2 linked regions of the Arabidopsis thaliana genome follow. The protein of the gene in region 1 interacts with the protein of each later gene in a pairwise test. Each region holds a gene or a part of one and is shown in the gene's direction. Other genes may lie near its edges.

Evidence for each region.
Region 2: the proteins of AT1G45010 (region 1) and AT5G23550 interact in a protein complementation assay, tested with the Arabidopsis thaliana proteins (one large-scale study listed by BioGRID).

The regions. Positions count from the first base shown.
Region 1 is NC_003070.9:17,012,028-17,018,677, reverse strand, and holds AT1G45010 (TRAM, LAG1 and CLN8 (TLC) lipid-sensing domain containing protein), read left to right. Parts: upstream 1-3,157; 5' UTR 3,158-3,274; coding exon 3,275-3,502; exon of another isoform or gene 3,503-3,598; coding exon 3,599-3,739; intron 3,740-3,837; coding exon 3,838-3,957; coding exon of another isoform or gene 3,958-3,993; exon of another isoform or gene 3,994-4,640; coding exon 4,641-4,736; coding exon of another isoform or gene 4,737-4,823; exon of another isoform or gene 4,824-5,054; coding exon 5,055-5,165; 3' UTR 5,166-5,293; downstream 5,294-6,650.
Region 2 is NC_003076.8:7,938,312-7,944,912, reverse strand, and holds AT5G23550 (Got1/Sft2-like vescicle transport protein family), read left to right. Parts: upstream 1-3,235; 5' UTR 3,236-3,433; coding exon 3,434-3,577; intron 3,578-4,002; coding exon 4,003-4,056; intron 4,057-4,224; coding exon 4,225-4,298; intron 4,299-4,427; coding exon 4,428-4,545; intron 4,546-4,665; coding exon 4,666-4,724; intron 4,725-4,920; coding exon 4,921-4,999; 3' UTR 5,000-5,316; downstream 5,317-6,601. Other genes in the region: SGS3 (XS domain-containing protein / XS zinc finger domain-containing protein-like protein), read right to left, coding at 1-256, 330-1,292; AT5G23540 (Mov34/MPN/PAD-1 family protein), read right to left, coding at 5,574-5,765, 5,854-6,021, 6,113-6,289, 6,471-6,552.

The DNA.
Region 1 (6,650 bases):
CCAACAAGTTGGTTGCTGCTGATTAAATCTCATTAATGTGAGAAAAGATATTGAACCACTCCTAATTTTTCATTGTACTAAATTTGTAGCTAGCCAACAAGGAATTTATTATTTTTGTTGGCAAATATATGATTTTGAAATTATAGAAATATATTAGGGAAATTGCACTAGGTATGCTCAGTGGATTCAGTATTTAGGTTCTAATTTCCCAAAAGTTTCGGCGCTACTGTTGCAAAAATAAAGACGCATGTACCCCTATGTCTAGTAAAAATCTAAACGTAGCTTTTATATTTCTCTGTGTCAGGTGAATAGTAGAAGATCTTGTTTTGGATATTTTGGTGGGTGAATCAAAATTTTATATTATTTTGATAGTTTTCAATCGAGGCGTCGTTTCGGTCCAATCTATATTTACCTCATATTTTTTCTTCGTCTCTTTCATCCTAATTGGTTTGTTATCGGATAATTTATTACCGTACACGAGTTTTTACTGTTCAAAATTCGTCTCACGTGTTGCGAGTAGTGAATATATTAACTCTGTTATGAATATATTAACTCTATTATCTGCTATCTCGTTATCTCGACATTTTATATTGTTTCACTCTGTGTAATATCTCGACACTTTATTGCGCGTGTTGAAGTTTTAACCTCTAACGGATTTATTATCAGATACTTTATTACCGACATTGCGCTTCAGAATTCTACATTTTATTTACTCTCCCTACGTGTAATAAGTCGACATTTCATTGCGAGAGGACCTATATCTATATAAACTCTATTATTTGCTATCTCGTTATCTCGACATTTCATTGCATGTTTTGAAGTTTTAACTCCTAATTGGTTTGTTATCAGATAATTTATTACCGTACACGAATTTTTGCGGTTCAGAATTCGTCTCACGTGTTGCGAGCGGTGAATATATTAACTCTATTATGAATATATTAACTCTAATATCTGCTATCTCATTATCTCGACATTTCATATTGTTTTACTTTGTGTAATATCTCGACATTTTATTGCGCGTGTTGAAGTTTTAACCCCTAACGGATTTATTATCGGATACTTTATTACCGTATACGAATTTTTGCGGTACTCTCACTACACGTGTAATAACTCAACATTTCATTACGAGTGGTGAAGCCCTACAACTATATTAACTTTATTATCTGCTATCTGGTTATCGTCTTCTACTATTGGGCATAGTCTTATTTATTCTTATCTTCTATCAACTATCTTCTAATATAATCTATGATACCATATCAAATAACTTATTATCGACTAACCTAATTATCTTCATACTTGTGTCCTGCTTCGGCGACTCCAACTGCTCTGTAGCGGTTACATTATTGCCACATTTAGTTCATCCTAAACTGTATCATTATTCTTTTTATACTAATTCATATACATGTCTTACCCACTAACAACTTGGGTTGAAGTTATGTTAAGGATATATTTCCATGTAAGAAACATTAGCAATAATTTTTTCAGGGGCATTAAATGTTGCACAATCATTACGTATCCAACAATATCTCTGCTGAGTAGGGGCAAATATGTCAGAATTTGTTGTCGGGAGGAGAGAGAACTAAATATGAAATCATCACTCATACTTTCCTAATTTCGCATTCGTCTGAGCAGTGAAATTTAATTCACCCAATATATTATTTGGTTTGTTGTGGATCAATACGACAAGATAAAACGAATATAACTTGATATTTTGAATAACTGTATAGTCAATTTTTAATATTTCTAAACCGCTTTTGATTGAGAATCTAATTGGAAGTAAGTAAATTCCGTCGACCTAAAAAAACAAATTCAAATTTCTTATAGCGACTTTTATAAAAATACAGTTAGTTGACCTCAACTTATTTTATAGAAAAGACATATATGCAGTGCTTTTGTCTTGAGGTCGTTAGTTGTTGGTCGTTAGTCTCTTTACACACTCCATATGTAATAAACACATAGGAGTGATTGGCAAGAACTTTCAAGGGTTTGAGAGTATTCTAAAGTCTTCAAAGTTTTATTTTTGCCAATCATGCTTTTTTTACTTTAGTTTTTCAATGAGTTCTTATAGCCTTAAGTTTTTTGTATGTTCTTTATTTTCTTTTCTTTTTTGTAAAGTCTGGAATACATGGCTTTCAAACAAAATAAAATTAAAAACTTTCTTTTTTCTTTTCCCCATGATAATTTAAAAATCTCCACAAGTTTATATTTATTTTTTTCACAAATCATTTTTCTTAAATTAATTATTATTAGTTTTTTCTCTTTCTTTTAAGATCTGTTTTACTAATAATTATTTTATTTTCATCATCAACATTAATGTAAGTGTAAGAGAGTTTACATAATTAACATTTTTCAAAAACAATATAAGGTTCATGTTGGTCATTTAAAATTTGAATAATAACAAAAAAAGGTTTAAGTGCTATTCAAAAAGAAAGAATTCTTCAGAATACTAATAATAATTTTGGAAGTAATTTATGTTCGAAACAAGGGAAAAATCGTTTGGATAATTTGACGAAGCAAAACAACATTTATCATAATAATCCTGAAGCTCCATAATTTTTCTCACTTTATCCCACTTCTTAATGCAAATTTTGGTTATTAAAATTTTAAATGAATGAGTAATAGATTTGCATTTTGTTTGTTATGAATATTTATTTAAGAAATTTTGTATTTTAATTTTTTTTACTATTAATAAAATATTTGTTTTGTCACTATGTTACAACATAATTAAATTTTGATATCATTTATATTTAATAGTAATAAATATAAATAAATAACAGTAACAGTTTTTAAAGCTTTTGTTACCGATCAGATTTTAAAATTCAAAGTCTCTGCAGCCAAACTTTCTACAGTTACTATTTTTAAAGTTAAAGTCTTTACAGTCACCCTTACCAATCGTCCCATAATGTCTACTGCTTACGGTACTTTTTTCTTTTTCTTGCTTACGATACTTTTTTCTTTTTCTTTTTTTCGGACAAAACTTAAGATACTCTAAGAAACAAAAAAAATGATCACCATTTAAAGGAAATAACTTGGGTGATTAGAGCTAGACGAAATAATTCCAAAATCTTTGGATCAAATCTTTATAGGTCAATTTTTAACAGAAACATTAATGTGTATGGGATCCACACCATTGAATCCCAAAATTCCCAACTAACATACCACCAATAATGTCGGTCTACTAACATCACTGAAATGTTTTTATTCCTCTCCATCTCTCTTGTCATCACAACAAAATTTTGCCTTGGCTTGCGAAAAAAGGAGATCAAGTGATCATATGGAGGAAGAACAAGTAAGAGCAATTAAGATAATAGTATTTGGAGTCATCTCATGGGGTGTGGCCTTCATTCTCACCCGGAGAATCTTCTCAAGCTACTCATTCAGCTTCAGCAACCGTCTTCTCTCCACGGCTCACGCGACTATCGCTGTCACTTTAGCAACACTCTCTGTTCAAGATTTGTCTTGCCCTGTTTGTCCCCTTGCTTCTAAGCCATCTCATAAACAGGTTCTTATTAATCACATCATCACTTCACTTAACTATATATAATCACTCTTTTTGCACATTGTAACCAAACTGGTGATAAAACAAAACACACAACAGATGGACGTGATGGCGTTTTCGTTGTCGTACATGATCTACGATCTAATATGTTGTCATTTCGATCAAGTGTTTAGCATTGATAACGCGGTTCATCATTTCGTTAGCATTCTTGGTTTTATAGCTGGACTTGCATACCAAAAGGTATTTTTATTGTTTTTGTCTCGAAATCAATGATTACTATTAGAAGATATATGAGAGTTTGTGGTTACTAAGTTTTGGTATCATTTATTGTTTCGAAGTCTGGATCTGAGATCGTGGCTACACTGTGGGTAGCAGAGATATCAAGTCCTTTTTTCCACCTTAGGGAGATTCTCAAAGAGATTGGATACAAAGACACCAAACTCAATCTAGCTGCCGATGTGAGTATACATATATCATCTTTTTGTGTGATCTAAACAAGTTTTAAATGGATAGATATTAAAACATGTTAATGTAGTCTTTACTCCATCATCAACTCCTAGTTAAATGCAAACAGAACGATTGTATATTCTTTTAGAAAATGGAATAATGCACAATCATCGAGTATTTTTGACTTAAACTGTCTACACTAGGTCACTAGTTCGATGACGGCTATACTTATTATGTAGTTGGATAGTATAAAACCGGGACCACCGTTGGATATGAAGAAAAAAAAAGTCTATGGTCGTTATGGTTTTAATTCCATTGAATGGCAACTTTCAATTGCAATTGTTAAATTTTTTTGACGTTTTGTTTAATGGAGAGATGGTCACACCTGCATTATCCCTAAGTTATGTTCTGTTTTTGCTTCTAATAGCTTAGATACCTGTTTTAGATTATGACATTTTACCTTGTACATAGACCTATCTTTCGATCTATAAATTTCACACTTTATTAAAGAAAAAGAAAAAAAATTGACGTTGAAGATTTATTAGTTTAGGTCTTCCTGTAAAACCCAAATCTACTTCTCTAGATTTATTTATAATATTTCATTAAGTCAAAGTTAAATCTATTTTATTGTATGAAGGAAGCTTCTAAAAACTTAAGCACCGACATGCTTTATATTAACTGATGATATTGATAGGTGTGTTTTGCCACTATATTCACATTGGCGAGAATTGTGTGTGGACCTTTCCTCGTTTACGTCAGTCTATCAGCTGATAATCCCATCTTCATCAAGGTATTTATTTATTCATTCATCTTTCCCAACTACCAAGAAATTGTGTTTATATTATTTTCGTCAACAAGATATCTTCATATTTTATAATATGTTAATTTTGCTTTGGTTTTACATTAGTTACATATTTTGATTTCATCAATTTCTCCATTTGTTTTGTTAATATGTGAATTTTTTTGTAACACAAAAGTATTGTTCTCCAAACCAAAATATAGATTTTATCATCTAAAGTATATATATTATGTCGATTAATCTCTCAGTATATCATAATTTTCAATTTGAATATGATACTTTAATGATATGTGGACTTATTTTTTACAGGCAATGGGATCAGGATTACAACTCGTGAGCATCTTTTGGTTCTATAAAATTTTCGGGATGATGAGATATAAACTTTTTAAGAAGCCAAAGTCAAACAAAAAGTCTACTTAGCTTAGTTAGAGATATACAAAAGCTGATTCAATCCAAATATTTTTTTCTTATTTTTATTTATGGTCATTTATCTATTTTATTAATAAAATAATAATAAAAAAATGTCTCAGACCATTTCCAACAGAAAACTCTCACACAAATTCGAAAAATTGAAACAATAAAAAAAAAAATGGAGAGAGACCCACTCGTGAAACAACCGACTTTAAACCTCTCGTTTAAGAGCCGTGTCTTTACTTTTTAAGACTTCACTTACCACATGTTTTGATCTTTTTTTTTTTTTCTCATAAGTTGCCTTTTATTCAAACCAGTTTTGTAAAAGTTACAAAGTGGAACTTCCACTACAGCATAAGACAACATTCAGAAAACTACAACATGGAATTGAAACTAAAACAACAAGAACTCCATGTTTAAACAGAACCAACAACAGATAAGTCATTACCAAAAAGTCTTAAAATGACCCTATCCTCATCGTTCTGCAACCCAGGAGCTGCTGTCTCCACTTGAACTCAAAGCAAACGAAACTATAGCAGATATGCCATAACCAGAAATTAATACATGACCATATCCGCATAGTTATTCAAAGCAACAGCTGCCGAACTAAACTAGTTACCAAAGCAGCCTAAATCAAAAAACCAATACGCCTTAAGCTGCCTCCATTGCAGCCTAAACAAAAACTTTGACAGAATTAGCAGAGTGTTAACGTTTTTTAGGAGGTTTCAGAATACCTCCTATCATTTGATCTTTATCTTGATGCTTGTGTTGCCTAACAGTTTCTTCATTCCTAGGACCAGCCATATTCTTTCTCTTAGATGAATCCCCTTTTTCCATCAAGTGCTCAGACACTGTATTCTCACTTTGCCTTGATGATTCACCAATTTCAACCAGACGAGGTGTATTTGTTGCAAAAGCAGGTCCAGTGAAAGGATGGATGTTTGAGTCTCTTGATGATTCACCATGTTTTGATCTATTGATGGAATTCAATTAATTATTATAAATTTAATTAAATAAGAAAATCATAAAATTAATATTTTCTATTAATCCAATGATCATTTCAGAGAGCCTCACCGTTGAGGATGCTTTTACGTTTGTCAATAGATTAAGACAAAAATTAACGTTCATTATGGTTCATTTTTCAAAAGAGTAAAATTGTCTACCATCAGCATGTAGAACCATCTATTGTTAATCTTTGTGGTACATATAGAACTGACAGTTATAAAGTCGTCGACAAAATCGTTCACCATAAAAAGCTATAGAAATGATTACTTAGTCGTAAAAGTTATATTGATCATTCGTAATAGGATATGATTAGCTCACAGAAGTTGTAGAATGAGTTTATAGTTGTGCAGTAAATATTTTTTGCAAGGAAGGCTAGCAAATACTTTGTGAAGATCTGAATCGCATTTCACACATTTGTAGCACTCATCGTTATTGATAGGAATACAGTATAAATTTTATAAATTAATAAACAAGAAAAATTAATAAATT
Region 2 (6,601 bases), on another chromosome or scaffold:
TCGTTGCAAGGAAGCCATACAGTTGGCGAACACCTCCAGAAAACATACTGCGCTTCTGACCCCAGGCAATTCTATCTAACCCCATCTCAGCTAACTCCCGGTGGAGGCGTTCGGCCTCCAAATAGCCAGTGGCACTGCTCTCAAACATCAGAACACTCATCCCACGATGGCCCTGTGGACCATAGGAATGGCGTGCTCTAAGAGCCTCATACTTGTCGAAGTATTCCAGCAGCTCTTGGTTGCCCATGCCGAGCCACTACAATGTAACATTCTAAGATCAGTAGAATGCAAGAGAAAAATTAAAGAAGTAAAAGACAGAAGAATTCCACCTTATCGTTATCGTCCTTATCCAGTCTAGTATTCATGATGATGACCATTGGAGGCCAGACAATTTCATAATCCTTTTCATCCTCACCCAAACCCTTCCACTGCCCATAAATCTCACCACAAGGAATGACAGATGCGCCTCTCATCTGTAGATCCTTTTCTAAAACTTCAGCCAATTCTCTATGGAGCTTAACTCGCCTAGCTCCTTTTGTCCTCGCATGAGCTAGTAGAGGGTGCAGGTTATACCAATCGATGGCACCAGGTCCGTTCTGACAAGCTGGACAATGCCACTGCCTCTGTGGTTCATTTATCTGCTCGATCGACAAGCTATCCAAGCTGCCAAAGAACTTTTTGAACCACTTATTCTGCTTTCGTGATCCATGGCTCTTTTGACTCACATCCGAGTCATAATCATCACTTGCAAGGTCGTCATCAGAATCATCCAAAGCATCGGAATCATTCTCTTCCTCAGAAGCATTATCCACATCATCCTCCACGTCAGGAAACTCCTGCACAGCTGTGTGCTGAGCAGAACCTCCTCTTGCCTGCCAATTCCATCCTCCTTCCAAAGGAGGGCGAGATACAGGTGGGGGTGCCACAAAGTTGTTATCATACTTTCTGCTCAACGCTCGTCCCCGACCAGATATGTTAGCTTGAATGCCCCGACCATTGCCGTTACCTCTCCCGGATACATTGTTTCCTCTCCCAGATACGTTGCTACCTCTCCCTTGCTGCTGACCACCCCAAGCTCTAGGAGGATTCGAATTCTGAGAAACCCAAGTTTTTCCAGAAGTGTTTCCTGGTTTGTTCTTGTTCTTCTTGGAAATGACCTCCCACTCTCCTCCATCATCTTGTGAAGAAGCCAGTCTCGTCCCTGCCAAACCTTGAACCAACTGTTCAACCTCAGGCCTATAACCACCCTGAACGTTCTTTTCCTTAGACATTGGACCAGCCCTAGAACTCATTTTTACAACCTATAGCCACCAAAGAAACCCACAGTCACTACCAAAATCTCAAAATCCACACATGAACGTGAAGTTATAACAAGCCAACAACGCATAGGCTCAAAAAACAAACATCAAAGCACAAAAGGTAGATCAATCCGATTTATATGAAACAAAAACCAAAAAACGAAGGATTTTTCACAGTCAAATACTCCGATCAGCGACTAAACGGTGAAAGCACAACAAAATGAACAAAAACAGTAAGACGCAGGTATCGTTACCTAAGAACTATAAAATATAGGGAAAAAAGTAACCCATAGCACAAAAACCTTCGAAATCGAGAACATTAGGGCAATTTTTCCAGCGAAGAAAAAGAGAAATCGAGCACAGAATGCATGCGGTGAGGCGATCGGAGGCTCTAAGGCAGAAAACTTACAGAGTAAACGACGGAGAACGTAAGTTTAAAGCGCCGGAGAGTGAGAGTAGTGAGTCAGGACTCCGGAGGAAGAAAATAAACTGACGAAGAAGAGACAAATGAGGAAGCTTATTAAGCTCTAAAACGGCCTCGTTTTTCCGATTCTGGACTCCAAATTTTCATTCAGTTTGATTTTGTTTTCATTTTTGTACCTTTTTTTTTCCTTTTTCGCTTAACTTAATTGTTCCCACTATTAATTTATTGCTACGAACATGACTTGCTTAATTTTTGTTTGTTTGTCAACGTAAACATGTCTTGCTATTTTTGTATTTAATATAACTTTCACCTTATTAAAAATGCACAAAAAGTAGATATATAATTTTTACTTATATTTTGTTAGGTTTACATTTTTTGAAAATGTTTACAATGGAACCATACTGAAATTATTGTATTAAGGTTATATATAACTTATAAAACTCAAAATAATCATAATATTATGTACTATAAAAGTTACATACTATGTAATTGACAAAATTTTATATAATAGAGAAATATAATTAAATTCTTTTCTTGTATTATATATGTATATAGAAAAAATAATATGTTATATATCATTTAAGCGAAAAAAATTATTGTTTTAAAGATATGATTGAAATGTTTATATAGAAAACAATCACAAGATTATTTACTAAAAGCAAATCACAAAATAATTGACCAACCTATATAGAATAAACGAAACAAAATGTGTTACGTATCATTTGTGTGATTGGCAGTTACGTTTTATATTTTTGATTAAAACATTTTTAGAAAACAAACCACGAGATTATTTACTAAAAAAATAAATCACAAGTAATTGACCAACTTAAATATAGGAAACAAGAAAAAAAAATACTATGTTACAAATTATTTGTGTGAGGAGTTGTTATCTATATACACATTTTAGTAGATATTTTTGAAATAAATCATGGATTTGACACTTATTTACAATAGAATGTTATTGTCTTAAATTCTTAAGATTTCAAAAAATTATTAGAAGAAATTAACAAAACGATTTATATCATTAATTCTCTCTTATATTTTTCGATTAATTGTTAATTTCCTAAAATATCTATACCTAGTTTAAACATAATATATATTTTCTTTCAGTTTTAGTTAATCTTATATTTATAGAAAAAAATCTAGTTATTTTTTTACATATATCAATTGCATATAGTTGTATGATATAAAGAAAAGAAACAAAATAATATGTTATATCTGATAAAATCAACAAAAAAAATAGCTATTAAAATGGGAAGTCAACAAAAATTAAGTGAGTAAAATAAAATAAAAAAATCAACAAAAATAGCGAATTAGAAGCAAAGTTGAGGATTGTTGGCATTTTTTGAAAGTTCAAGATATTTTTGACATATTATTTTTGTCAACCACTCATTAATTAAAGGGCCTTAATTAAAACCTTAATGGATGTGTAAATTTTTAAAATAAGAAAATAAAACCTTAATGGATCCAACAATTGGGCTAAGTTTATTTTAATTTAAAATAAGCCCAACAACTAAAGCCTTTTCTTCTTTTCTCCTCCTACGAAGAAAAGTGTCTCTTTCATTTTTCAGTCTCACACATTGCGTAATTTTGCAGAGAAGATCCAACCATACTTCAGTTCTACTGTCACAATTTGAGAAGAAGAAGCGTGAGATCTGATCACTAGAACTAGGAAGAAAGAGCTTAGACTACAGAAAGAGGACTTACAGAGATGGATAAAATGAATCAGGCTATTGAGAAGATGAAGATGTTGGTTGGTATGGAGGTTGAAGACGAGCAACAAGCTGCTGATGAAGAAAGCTCGCTCTCATTCATGGAAGATCTTAATCGCAATTGCGCTTTAACTACCAAACAGGTTCTTAACTTCCCCAGATTCTTCGATCAAGTCCTCTGAATTTGGTAATTTTTGTAATTTCACATGCGGACTAGGTATTCGTCCAATTAGAGAAGTTAGGCTCGTAAGCTCACTGAGGTAGAAATGTAAATGAGTTCCTATTGAATGCATATGATGTGATCAATAACATACAAGAGATTTTGAGATAAGTGTTTAGCAGTTCTATGATTTTTTGGAGGAGAAGGATTATAAAATTCCATGTGGTATGATAACAGTTTGATTAATAGGACTAAGTTTTGGCTTGCTACTACAAAAAATTAGGACGCTACTTGGATTTAGCTCCTCTATGAACCTGTAGTGTTGTCTCGTTTACAAGAATCTGTTAAATTATCTTGAATTGGGTTTGTCTTTGGCTAATATCTCGTTTTTTTTGTTTATGAAAACAGAGATTTTATGGCTTTGCAATTTGCTTGTCAGCAGGTTTGACCTGTACACTTTTGGTAAGTATAACTCTCAAGTCTTAGCAATGTTAGAAAGCACTATCCTTATTTCTGCATTGAAAGGAATCATTTGATTGGTTTAGCTGTATTCTTCTTCTGTACTTTGGGTTGTCTTAGCTCTTTTACTGGTGATATAACTCTTTATCTCTTATTTGTTTGACGATGCAGTCGATGCTTGTTTTCTTTAATCCGGTCAAGTTTGGCATCACATTCACTCTGGGAAATTTGATGGCACTCGGGAGGTTCGTATTGGAATTTTGTGTAGCTTCTTGTTATATTGCATTGGTGTCGCAATTCTGTGTGTACAGTATTTCTCCATTTTTCTCTCTTTGTTCCTGGATTTTAAGTTTCATGTCACTTTTGTATGGCAGCACAGCATTCCTTATAGGCCCACAGCGGCAGGTGACTATGATGCTTGACCCAGCTCGTATCTACGCTACTGCATTGTATCTAGCAAGCATTATCATTGCCTTGTTTTGTGCTCTTTATGTAAGTGGGGTTTCTCAATTCAAAATACTGGATGCACAACATTGCTTATGTTCAGTTAAAACTAGGTAGTGAAAATGCCTTGTTGGACTAAATATAATCTGTCATCATCTTTCTGTACAGGTTCGCAACAAGCTTCTGACACTGCTGGCTATCATTCTTGAGTTCACTGGTCTAATTTGGTATGCTAAAACTTGCTTTCAAGCTCTTACATTTTTATCCTAACTTTCTTAGTAATACAATTACATGATATATACTCTTCGAATAGTATATTATCCCGAGTGGACCTAATGCTCCTTATACGGTTTCTGAGTTTGTCACAAAAGCTGTCAACATTCATCTTGGAGAATGAATCCCTTGTGTTCTTTAAAACTGCAGGTATAGCTTGAGCTACATCCCTTTTGCAAGAACCATGGTCTCAAAGATCTTCATGACTTGTTTTGACACCGAGTTTTAAGCTACAGTTTACACACATCAGGTCAAAGATTTCTTGTTCCAAAACCTTGATGCTCTGGCTGAACGATTGGTCAATCTCCTCCAAATGTGTTCAAAGCAGGACTTGTTTGATGCACCGGTAACGTGCCATGCCCTTTATGGCTTATAATTGCCTCTTTACATCAAGTTCACGTCTTCACAAATCCTAGCACAGTTTTTTGTATATTTGCTGTGGAACTTAACGTAGATTTGGATGTTATTGCTGTTTGCTACAAAATTAAGATGTTAACTTCACTTGTTTTAGTTTCATTGTCATGGTTACGCTAAAGACTTAATCCAGGAGGGAAATTGCATATTCTTATCAAAAGCACTTAACTTGAAAGTTGCAGCATAAAATCTAAAAATGGGAGGAAAATAAAATCTGAAAATAATATGCAAAGAAATAGAAATCGATCCCTGCCCTTAACGAACGAAATCACATAGTACAGTACAACCTTGTAAAAAGCTAGCAGATAAAAAGAGAACATTCAGTAGAAGCCAAAGAGATGCAGAAGAACAAAGCTCAATGACTTGAAGCGGCTGGAGAAGTAAGCTCTCTAGAAGACAACAGTGTCGAGCATAGTGCCTAGTGTCTGAACAATGTTGGATGACATGAGGTTCGAGACATGTTCTTCCAGATGCTTCTTTGCATCTTGTCTTCCCACATTCACAATTGCCAGCTTCTCTGGTGACAACTCGTCCTCCTCTTGAACCGCCTTGTTATATTTAGCAGCCAAGCTCAACATCTCCTGTTAAACAGGAGATAATGAAAATGTCAATGAACATGATTGTAGAATATGCTTGAACAGATAAAAACATAACCCTGTGTTTCTTTACCTGGACCGTCTGTTCGTTGGTCTTGGAGTGGGTGTCAAAGCGTCTTAGCGTCAGACCATCTGTCCATTTCTTCTTGTGGAGGTTGAGTAACATCTTCTCCTCAAGCTCGTTCTTCCTATAGTTGATTGCTATTGAGTAATAGTGTCTGTTCAACCCGTGAATCAAAGCCTGCATAGTAGTATCCAAAAGTCAGTATCAGAGAAAACCTTTGATTTCGTTTCAACTTAAAAACAGGACACATTCAGTTAGTGATAATCACCTGGATCGATGGTTTGTTCAAGTGCCCAAGGTTCGATGTTGTTTGACGGGGTTCCTGCCCAAGCATAATGGTCTGTGGATTTATGGAGCGGAACGCATCAATCACCACCTTTCCTTTCACACTCTGAATCGGATCTACCACCACTGCTACAGCTCGCTGATTCAAAGCTTCAAAACTCTACAAAAGCACACAGATATTCACAATGAACATATATAATACAAAGTGAATCACAACAGGGTATAGAACACAATGAGTAACATTCTATTTAGTTTTTTGAGCCATCAATAAAGCAAACAACAAATTCTCAAGTGCAATTCACAAATTGATAAGTATGCAAACAGAGCAAACAAAACTCTACCTGTTGAGTATTAATGTCAACCCCAGAAAGCCAGCAGCCGAATCCAGGATGTGAATGATACCAACCAACCACCATCTCAGGTCTGAAACAAGATACAAGAAGAATCAGATCCAAAACCTAAATAGGAAACC